Bombyx mori: one gene and its partner. The protein of the gene in region 1 binds, or shares a complex with, the protein of each later gene. Links are inferred from orthologs where the notes say so. Each region holds a gene or a part of one and is shown on either strand. Other genes may lie near its edges.

Region 1 (3,830 bases):
GATTTCGGTCTGGACCTACAACCGACAATAGATTTAATAGAAAAGGTATTAGAGGTTCCCTCTTAAGCTTCAGGCATTAAGTCGTAGCCAGATTAACTTCAGACAATTTATCTATAGTTTCATTGACACCGCCGTAGATGAGGTAAAGTCAAATGCTTATAAAGCACGTTGAACTTATATCAACTCAATTGCTGACAATTCAATCATTTTCGATTTGTTTCAAACAGTATTTGTAAATTTTATTAAACCACACAAAGCTGATAGATCCGCACAGCAAATGTAAATGCTTCGGTAAAATTTTGACATATTTATATGAAGCAATGTAAAACAGCTTTCTACTGTTTTTACTGATGCTATTAAGCTTGTAACGAGTATCAAAGTATACGAACAGCTACAAAATACACTTTTCAATTTGCATGAAGCTTAATAAGAACTTGCCGATTATTTTCGTGTAAAAGCTTTTTTAGAGTGCCATTGAAATCAAATAAAATATACAATTCGCTATTTATCTTCTAACTGATTTAATTACTTTGAGTATGCTGTACGGTAAAGTAAAAAGAAAATTTGTAAAGAAAATATTTAAAATATATATAAAATAATTCGATTTCGCGGTCTAACCCCAACCATACGCTTTCAGCCTATGGGTATCCTCTCCATTCTTGAGGAAGAGTCTATGTTCCCGAAAGCCACCGACCAGACCTTCGTTGAGAAGCTGAACAACAACCACTTGGGCAAATCTGCTCCTTACTTGAAGCCCAAACCCCCCAAGCCAGGTTGCCAAGCTGCTCACTTCGCCATTGGTCACTACGCCGGTAACGTAAGTATCTGTTCAATTTATAAACCTCAAATTGAAGATGAAGTAGTCCAATGCTCTAGTATGCCCAAACGAAATTTAACAAATCACGTCCTTTCAGAACTCTTTTGTACGAATGAATCATTGTCAAAAACAAAAACCCATCGTCACTGGTTCTTAAAGTTCACACAAGAACGCTACACAGCCACAAAAAATTTAAGCGCCCGTCAAAGAAAATGTTGTAACTTCAACTTTCCTTGCGCCACAGGTCGGCTACAACATCACCGGTTGGCTCGAGAAGAACAAGGACCCGCTTAACGACACCGTCGTCGACCAGTTCAAGAAGGGCCAGAACAAACTTCTGGTCGAGATCTTCGCTGATCATCCTGGCCAGTCTGGTGATGCTTCCGGCGGTGCCGGTGGCAAGGGTACGTTTCACATCATAAAATACTTATTACTTATTTAATGATAATATTCTATAGTATCCCGATGATAATGATAAAAGTATTTCTTTAGAGGAGTTTTTTTAAACTGAGTCTGTAGCCACGGCTTCTGTGGTTACGCCATTACCGATCTTAGATAGTCATCAATTACGGACGGATGGGTAATTCTTCTGCATTCGATAGTTTAAGCGAAAGTGAATGTAAATTTCTTTGCTTTAAATTTCAATCACTTTAATTTTTTTCTTGCTGTAATAAATTTGAGAAGAACTGACTGAACGCCAAACTGCGCTGCATATGAATACGGAGGACGCGGCACAGGGACGACAACCCCAATTAAATCACATTAAAATCATACACGCAATATATCTACATCGTTTCATTCGAGTGTTACACTTTACAAGTAACACTGTTTCACGCACATAATACATATAAAAGATCCTTAGATAACAGCAAATATCATTTTATCAACGAAGCTTGTATTGGAAATTACTTCACCGATCAACTTCCATACGCTTTCATAGAATAGACTTCATCGTTCATTATATTAAAATACAAAAAAATCACATACTGACACTGTTTTAAAATGAAATAGGCGCTGGTGGCAAACGCGCTAAGGGTTCTGCCTTCCAGACTGTATCATCACTCTACAGGGTAAACTCGCATACAAAATTGTCCGAGATTTGCTTCTGTGGCTCCTTCGTGCTGTCCTTTTCTGTCAACACGCTTTAGACCGTCGCCTATAGAATGAGAGGTTGCGTCTTGCATAGGGATGATCTTGCACGCTTTCAAATTAATAATCATGTTTCGTTAATGTACATTTGCAGCTCATGTCGTCGCGGTTATTTCGTCAACTTATCCTACTGTCTTCATATACCTGTGATCGTCCAAAACTAATTTGCTTGTTTTAATGTATATTCATAGGCGGTCGTGGAAAGAAGGGTGGTGGTTTCGCTACCGTTTCCTCCGCTTACAGGGTATTTAATAGTTCAACTACTAGATTTTATTGTTTTTTTATTATTATTATCGTAATGATGTAGTTAACTACCTAAATGTAGCCTACATCAAGTGTTTTTAGTAGTTCGAAATTATCCATGAAACTTGGAGGTAATTTTGAAATCATGTCACCCATGAAGATACGTCAATTTTGAATTGCACTTTCATTCATTTTAGATGCATTTTATTGTAATTTAACGAAGAAATGTAAGAGGAACCATTACATTTATTAACATCAGCAGAATACGAAACCTTGCTAAGTTTTCAACTGAGTTTTCTTTTGCTTTTTTCGTTCTAACCTTTTGGTTTTTTTATTTTTATGTTTGTTTCACCAAAAATTTATACTTCACTTGTTTTTATAATATATGTTGTGTGGCTTATATTTGTTTTTATAGAAAACTTAATTACGACCAAGTTTTCTTTACATGCATTTCATGTGGTTTTGCTTTATACGTTTTAAATTATAATAAATATGAAATTATATTAATGTTACCAATATATACAGGAACAACTTAACAACTTGATGACGACGCTGAGATCCACCCAACCTCACTTCGTGCGTTGTATCATTCCCAATGAATTGAAACAGGCTGGTGAGTTTTCGTTTTAAACTTATACAAAAAAATAATTTGAATATATTAAAATTTGATGGAAAAGAATTTTTAATTTGTCGATCGATTTAAAAAAGCCATTAAAATTGGGTATTCATTTTCCAAATATACACGACCTCAACGAAACATAATCTTTGACATCGATTTCCGTGTTACATAGGTCTCATCGACTCTCACCTTGTGATGCATCAGCTCACCTGTAACGGTGTGCTTGAAGGCATCCGTATTTGCCGTAAAGGTTTCCCCAACAGAATGGTATACCCTGACTTCAAGCTCCGGTAAGAATCGCTTGTATGAAACAATCTATTTATAGTATCACGAAGTAGACATTAGAATAACATTTACGAAAATCACGCTCTTGAGTCATCAAATAAAAGTTATTTCACACGTCAACACGGTTTAAATATATTCTGAGGATTCATACTTTCGACTCGCTGAAGTCTAAACAACATTCCTAGGCCGCTGGAGATTTTATTTCTGTATGGCCGACCACTGACTAATGCTGACGTCATTTTGGAGATTCTAGCAACGAATTCGCAAATAGTTTCGATGACTCTCACCTCTCAGTCGGGAATCGTCCTGATGCACAACGTCTGATACGCTCTGTCTATTTTAATCATTTATAAAACTAATATTTAATAAACAGCTACATGATTCTTGCACCCGTCGTCATGACAGCCGAAAAAGATCCCAAAGAGGCAGCTAGGAAGTGTCTGGAGGAAGTCGGGCTCGACCCCGAAAGCTATCGTATTGGTCATACAAAGGCAAGGAAACATCGATACCATCCTAGCGTGGTGACCGCATGACCTAGTCGAAAATGGACAGACTCAACATAGAGATCTAGAAATTCACGACTCATGTAGTTTGTGTACCCACACCGTTTTTGTAGTCAATACATAGATTTTTGCACCTCTAGTTTAAAACACCTGTTTAGAAATACCTATGTGTCACGTTAATAAACAGGTCCTTTATTTTTTTTTTGTTCTAATA
Region 2 (4,403 bases), on another chromosome or scaffold:
CGGCTGCCCCACCCATCAAATTCAATCCTTCACTTCAATTCACCTTTCAATTGCTTCACGGCAGAAATCATCAAGGGCATCAAGTCCGTGGTGGCAGCAGTGCGAGCCCCTGAATGATGACGCTCAGCACGCCCTCAAGGCGTAGGTTGCTTGTGCTGGGGAAATACCTCTCCTTGCGAGCTGTGGTCGCCTGCACGTTAGAGGCCCGGAGTTTGTAGGAGGACGTGGTGGTGCTCTGCAACCCGGTCAGTGTGCTCCGTGAGGTAAAAGAAACGTGAAAGGGAACTCCTCATTCAGCTCCCGTAGAGACTGACGAGTGCCTGGTGCGGGGACGTCCGGGGCTAAGCTGTTGACTCAGTGGTGAGACGGCGCAAGGTGTGATCTGTGCGCCAGCCACGGTGTATCTCCGGATGTCTTTTGGGATTTCTCTTGAGAAGAAATCCTGTCATCAAGACGGATAACGGCGATATTTATTTCTCGACGCGCACTATGCGGTATTATTTTAGCCGATAAGTTTTATGGAGCTTAGTCGATACCATGGGGTGGGTTCTCGCGCGCCTTTCTCAAGGCATAGTCTTCTACGAGGAATTCGAACAAGAGAAGAACATCGATCTTCCTCTTCTCCCTCTTCAGCCCTGAGGTGCCAAAGTCCGATATTTCTCGATTTGTTACCCCCTCGACAGGGTATCCGTAGACGCATTCCGTAGCGTTAAAAAAAGTGGTGGTACCGACCCGTGCGGGCTCAAGACCTTCTACCACCAGTAATGTTGCAAGTTATAGTTTTCATGAGTTTGATTTTTATTGCACGATGCTCTTTCATCATGGAAGTCTTTGATAAACATTTGCTAAGTACATATTTCATTACATATGTTGATACCTGCCTCTGGGATTTGAACACCACGGCCGCTCGATACAAATATACCGATCGTCTTATCCTTTAAGGCACGACGACTTTTCTTACACTAACATCTAGAAATAAGACCATGACAACATTACTTAGTCCATATAGCAGATTAGTAAAAAAATACCCATCGACGTACCCAAATATGAACACAAGCTGAACCATACTTCTTTTTATTTTGGCTTCGAAATGGACTACAAAAACATAGCTCATATAACTCAAGATGCATAATATAAGATTGTGGCTGATTTTGCTTTTGAATAATATTTTTTTCATTAGATAACGCTGGACTACTTCTTAACACTGTTATGTATGCGGAAATAAATTTGAACGAAGAGATATTTTTAGCAAATGAATGACTGTAATGTATTGATCAAAATGTACTGTTATGCAAATGCCTTTTGAGATTCGTATACAGTGACATCTGCGCAGTATTCACTTTCAAAACGATAAAGCTATGTCTCAATTTTGTTGTTGCTATTAATCAATTTTTCAAGCATCAGCTGGCACTAAAGACGACATTTTGATAATAGGGAGATCACACCTCTCAGATCTGATCGAAATAGTTTAGCGTATATGTAGATTTACGATTTGGATTGGTGTTGCCCGATACCCCGCAACAGCGCAGGTGGAAAATCGCTTATCTCGCTCCGACTCGCATCAAGAACGTATACTCGAAGACACCATGGAAACGGATCTACTTCGCCGAAAATAGAACGGTGGCTGATTCCTGGGCTAAATCTCAAATATCCAGACGAGTGCGCCATCTAAGCGAGTTAAAACCGTCCCGCGAAAAGTTACGGAGCCCCACTTCTTGTCTGAACGTCTGCCAGTGAAGACCGGGAGGGAACCGACAAACACCACACAAAATGGTGAGTTACTGATGACAGTGGAAACGTGATAATGTGTACAGTGTGAACTATGGACTGTAAAACGAGATCAGTGACGGATAACGCGGATCAAATCCTCGTGATCCGAATGTTTGCGGGCGACTCGGAAGAATTCACAAATTATGCAGTACAAAAGTGTTGTGCTTCTGCTACGATCAAGGATGACTTCTTTCATTTTAATCATCGAACACGAACACATGCAAATATGTAAAAGAACACACAGATTAATATTCACCACACAACTATTTTATTAAGAAATCTGTTAACATGGAATAACCAAACATTTTTGGTCATTTTCAGAGCGACCTCAGCAAGAACGACGTTGAAAGTGAGTATTGTTTGATTGTTTGAATTTATTATAATTTTTTTTTTTCTGGAAGTTAATCAACTATCAATAACGTACACTAATGACGTTATTATTTCAAAATCATTGTGAATATAAAAGTTTTTGGAATCTCTACATGTTGCACATTTAAATATGTATTATTGTGAAATGAAATGGTATCATTGATTATCAAATGGTATCAAATTAAAGAATTATTGGCGGTGGTAGACGGGTCAGCAAAGTTGGCGGCAACTGTTCATATTCGACGCGCGCGGAACGTTCCAAATTTAAACCGAAGCGTCACGTGATCCGGCACCGCCGTCCGCCCAAACAGAGAAACCGTGCTCGGATTTCACTGCAAACAAAAATTTGGGCGTTCTTGGCGTAGTAACTAAAACAATTAATAAATCTATCGATATATTTCTATACATCTTATATCGTTGATTATAATTTGGTAAATTTAGGTTTCCTACAATATTTATCATTATCAAGGTCGTCATTTTGGATCAGCTGCGTTTTGGTTTGCAAATAGATACATACACATTACAAATACGTACGTACGGTACCAATATCGGGCTATATTTTATTAAATCTCAAATAACACTTTTTAAACTGATAAATTGCATAACACTAATATCTAATTGCTTTAATTTTCATTCGATGGGTTCGTTAACGTTACCAATCAATTTGGTAAAAAATCAAATAAGACTCATCTCTCCTTTCTAATTTGCCCTTATTTCTTTATGATAAGATTTGATCAAGTAAGATTGTCGGTTTCTATTGGCTTTTGTAAGATTCCAATATATTTTTTTTTAAACGCCCTTCTATCCATTTATGTGCCGTCGATAGATTTTCGAGCAGTTTAACTTAGATAACTGAGAAATGAAACGAAAATAAATGATCTACAAATCAGTCGGATTTGGCACCCAAATTAAATTGGGGCAGAGTCGTGTTCTAATATTAGACTGTGACTCATTGTACAGTGAATATTGAAACACAGCGTGGAAAAGTATTATTCTGGGCAAGAATGTCCGCCCACACGTTCCCACACGGCGCCGAAGCACCTGGCAATCGTTTTCAGGAACATGTTCGAGAATTCGTTGGAACGTTTTCATAAATACTATAATTCAGAATACGCTGTGAATGAATTATTCTGATTCGATTTCGTATAAACAATAGAGAGAGGTTTTTGAGGATTATTTATACAAGATAGAAGTGTATTTATAAAATCAAATTATAATTTGAACATCCATGGAGCTTACACTTAATTCTCAAACAATAGATAAGGTAATTACAAAACTAAAAGTTTATACCTATATGATTTGATCGATTATAGTGTTTGAGAAAATTTACTTTATCGGTTGCTATTCAATACGGGTTTCAACATAAAACGCCTGATGCTAAGCATAGCTTAGCGATCGAATTTGAAACTGTATTTGTTCTTTGGAGCTTTTGAAAACTTTGGAACTTTGAAAATTTTATTCCTTGCTCTATGGAAAAGAATAAATCTTATTGAATGTCCCGGATACCAATCATCGTTACATTAAAGCACTTAATCTATAAAATGACATTTTACCGAAATGGATTAAAACTTATCTTAATTTGATCTGTTTATTCAGGGGCGTCTTTCGCCTTCTCAATCTACGACTTTGAAGGCAAAGGTAAGATCGATGCCTTCAACCTTGGCGATCTCCTGAGAGCGCTCAACTCAAACCCCACACTGGCAACCATCGAGAAACTCGGTGGTACAAAGAAGAAGGGCGAGAAGCTGCTCACAGTATGTTCTAATTTTTTTTTTTATTAGTTACCTAGCTCCGCTTGTCACTGTTGCTATCATTTGACACATTTTTCCCAAAGAGGTTTTGGGTTGGAAAATGAAAGCATGAGCGGTGTGTATCTATTTATATTAGCTTAATTAGACTATGAGTAACGTCTTATCTAATGCCACGCGGTTTGTTGACCGTAACCGATTACCACAACAAGCCATGACCTTACAAATACATACAACATAATTCCAAGTTACATGATCATTAATATATAATTTTTTTTTTCTGAAAATCTCACAAACGTGAAGCGTGATACGAGTGCTCAAGACTAGCTTGTTAAAAACCTTATTTGTGTAGTTAATAACAAGGCGCGCCTTCCAGCGTTTGTTAATCAAAATTAAATACATACTTTTGGTTATATTTTAGCTGTTCATTGTATTTTTTTTTATAAATCAAATTAACTTGCAGCTCGAAGAGTTCCTTCCCATCTACAGCCAAGCAAAGAAAGACAAAGACCAGGG

What was found.
Region 2: the proteins of myosin heavy chain, muscle (region 1) and myosin light chain 1 are in contact, whole or in part, in a crystal structure (PDB 5W1A), measured with the Drosophila melanogaster proteins. The link is inferred for Bombyx mori from reciprocal best matches to the Drosophila melanogaster genes Mhc and Mlc1. Residues at the interface, in NP_723999.1 of Drosophila melanogaster: Arg25, Ile26, Ser29, Asp718, Lys720, Met721, Arg722, Gln724, Ile725, Pro728, Arg776, Leu780, Gly781, Ile783, Met784, Ser785, Trp786, Met787, Gln788, Ala789, Trp790, Ala791, Arg792, Gly793, Tyr794, Leu795, Ser796, Arg797, Lys798, Phe800; in NP_001287569.1 of Drosophila melanogaster: Phe14, Val15, Val18, Met19, Asp33, Arg36, Ala37, Asn39, Leu40, Asn41, Pro42, Thr43, Leu44, Glu78, Gln79, Gly80, Cys81, Asp84, Phe85, Glu87, Cys88, Leu89, Lys90, Leu91, Tyr92, Asp93, Lys94, Glu96, Ala103, Glu104.

What each region holds. Positions count from the first base shown.
Region 1 is NC_085114.1:1,599,376-1,603,205, reverse strand, and holds part of myosin heavy chain, muscle, read left to right. Parts: intron 1-637; coding exon 638-817; intron 818-1,061; coding exon 1,062-1,221; intron 1,222-1,828; coding exon 1,829-1,887; intron 1,888-2,157; coding exon of another isoform or gene 2,158-2,210; intron 2,211-2,734; coding exon 2,735-2,822; intron 2,823-3,000; coding exon 3,001-3,118; intron 3,119-3,830. UniProt on the Drosophila melanogaster protein: Muscle contraction.
Region 2 is NC_085112.1:7,820,786-7,825,188, forward strand, and holds the start of myosin light chain 1, read left to right. Parts: upstream 1-1,291; 5' UTR 1,292-1,770; coding exon 1,771-1,773; intron 1,774-2,091; coding exon 2,092-2,119; intron 2,120-3,735; coding exon 3,736-3,893; intron 3,894-4,350; coding exon 4,351-4,403.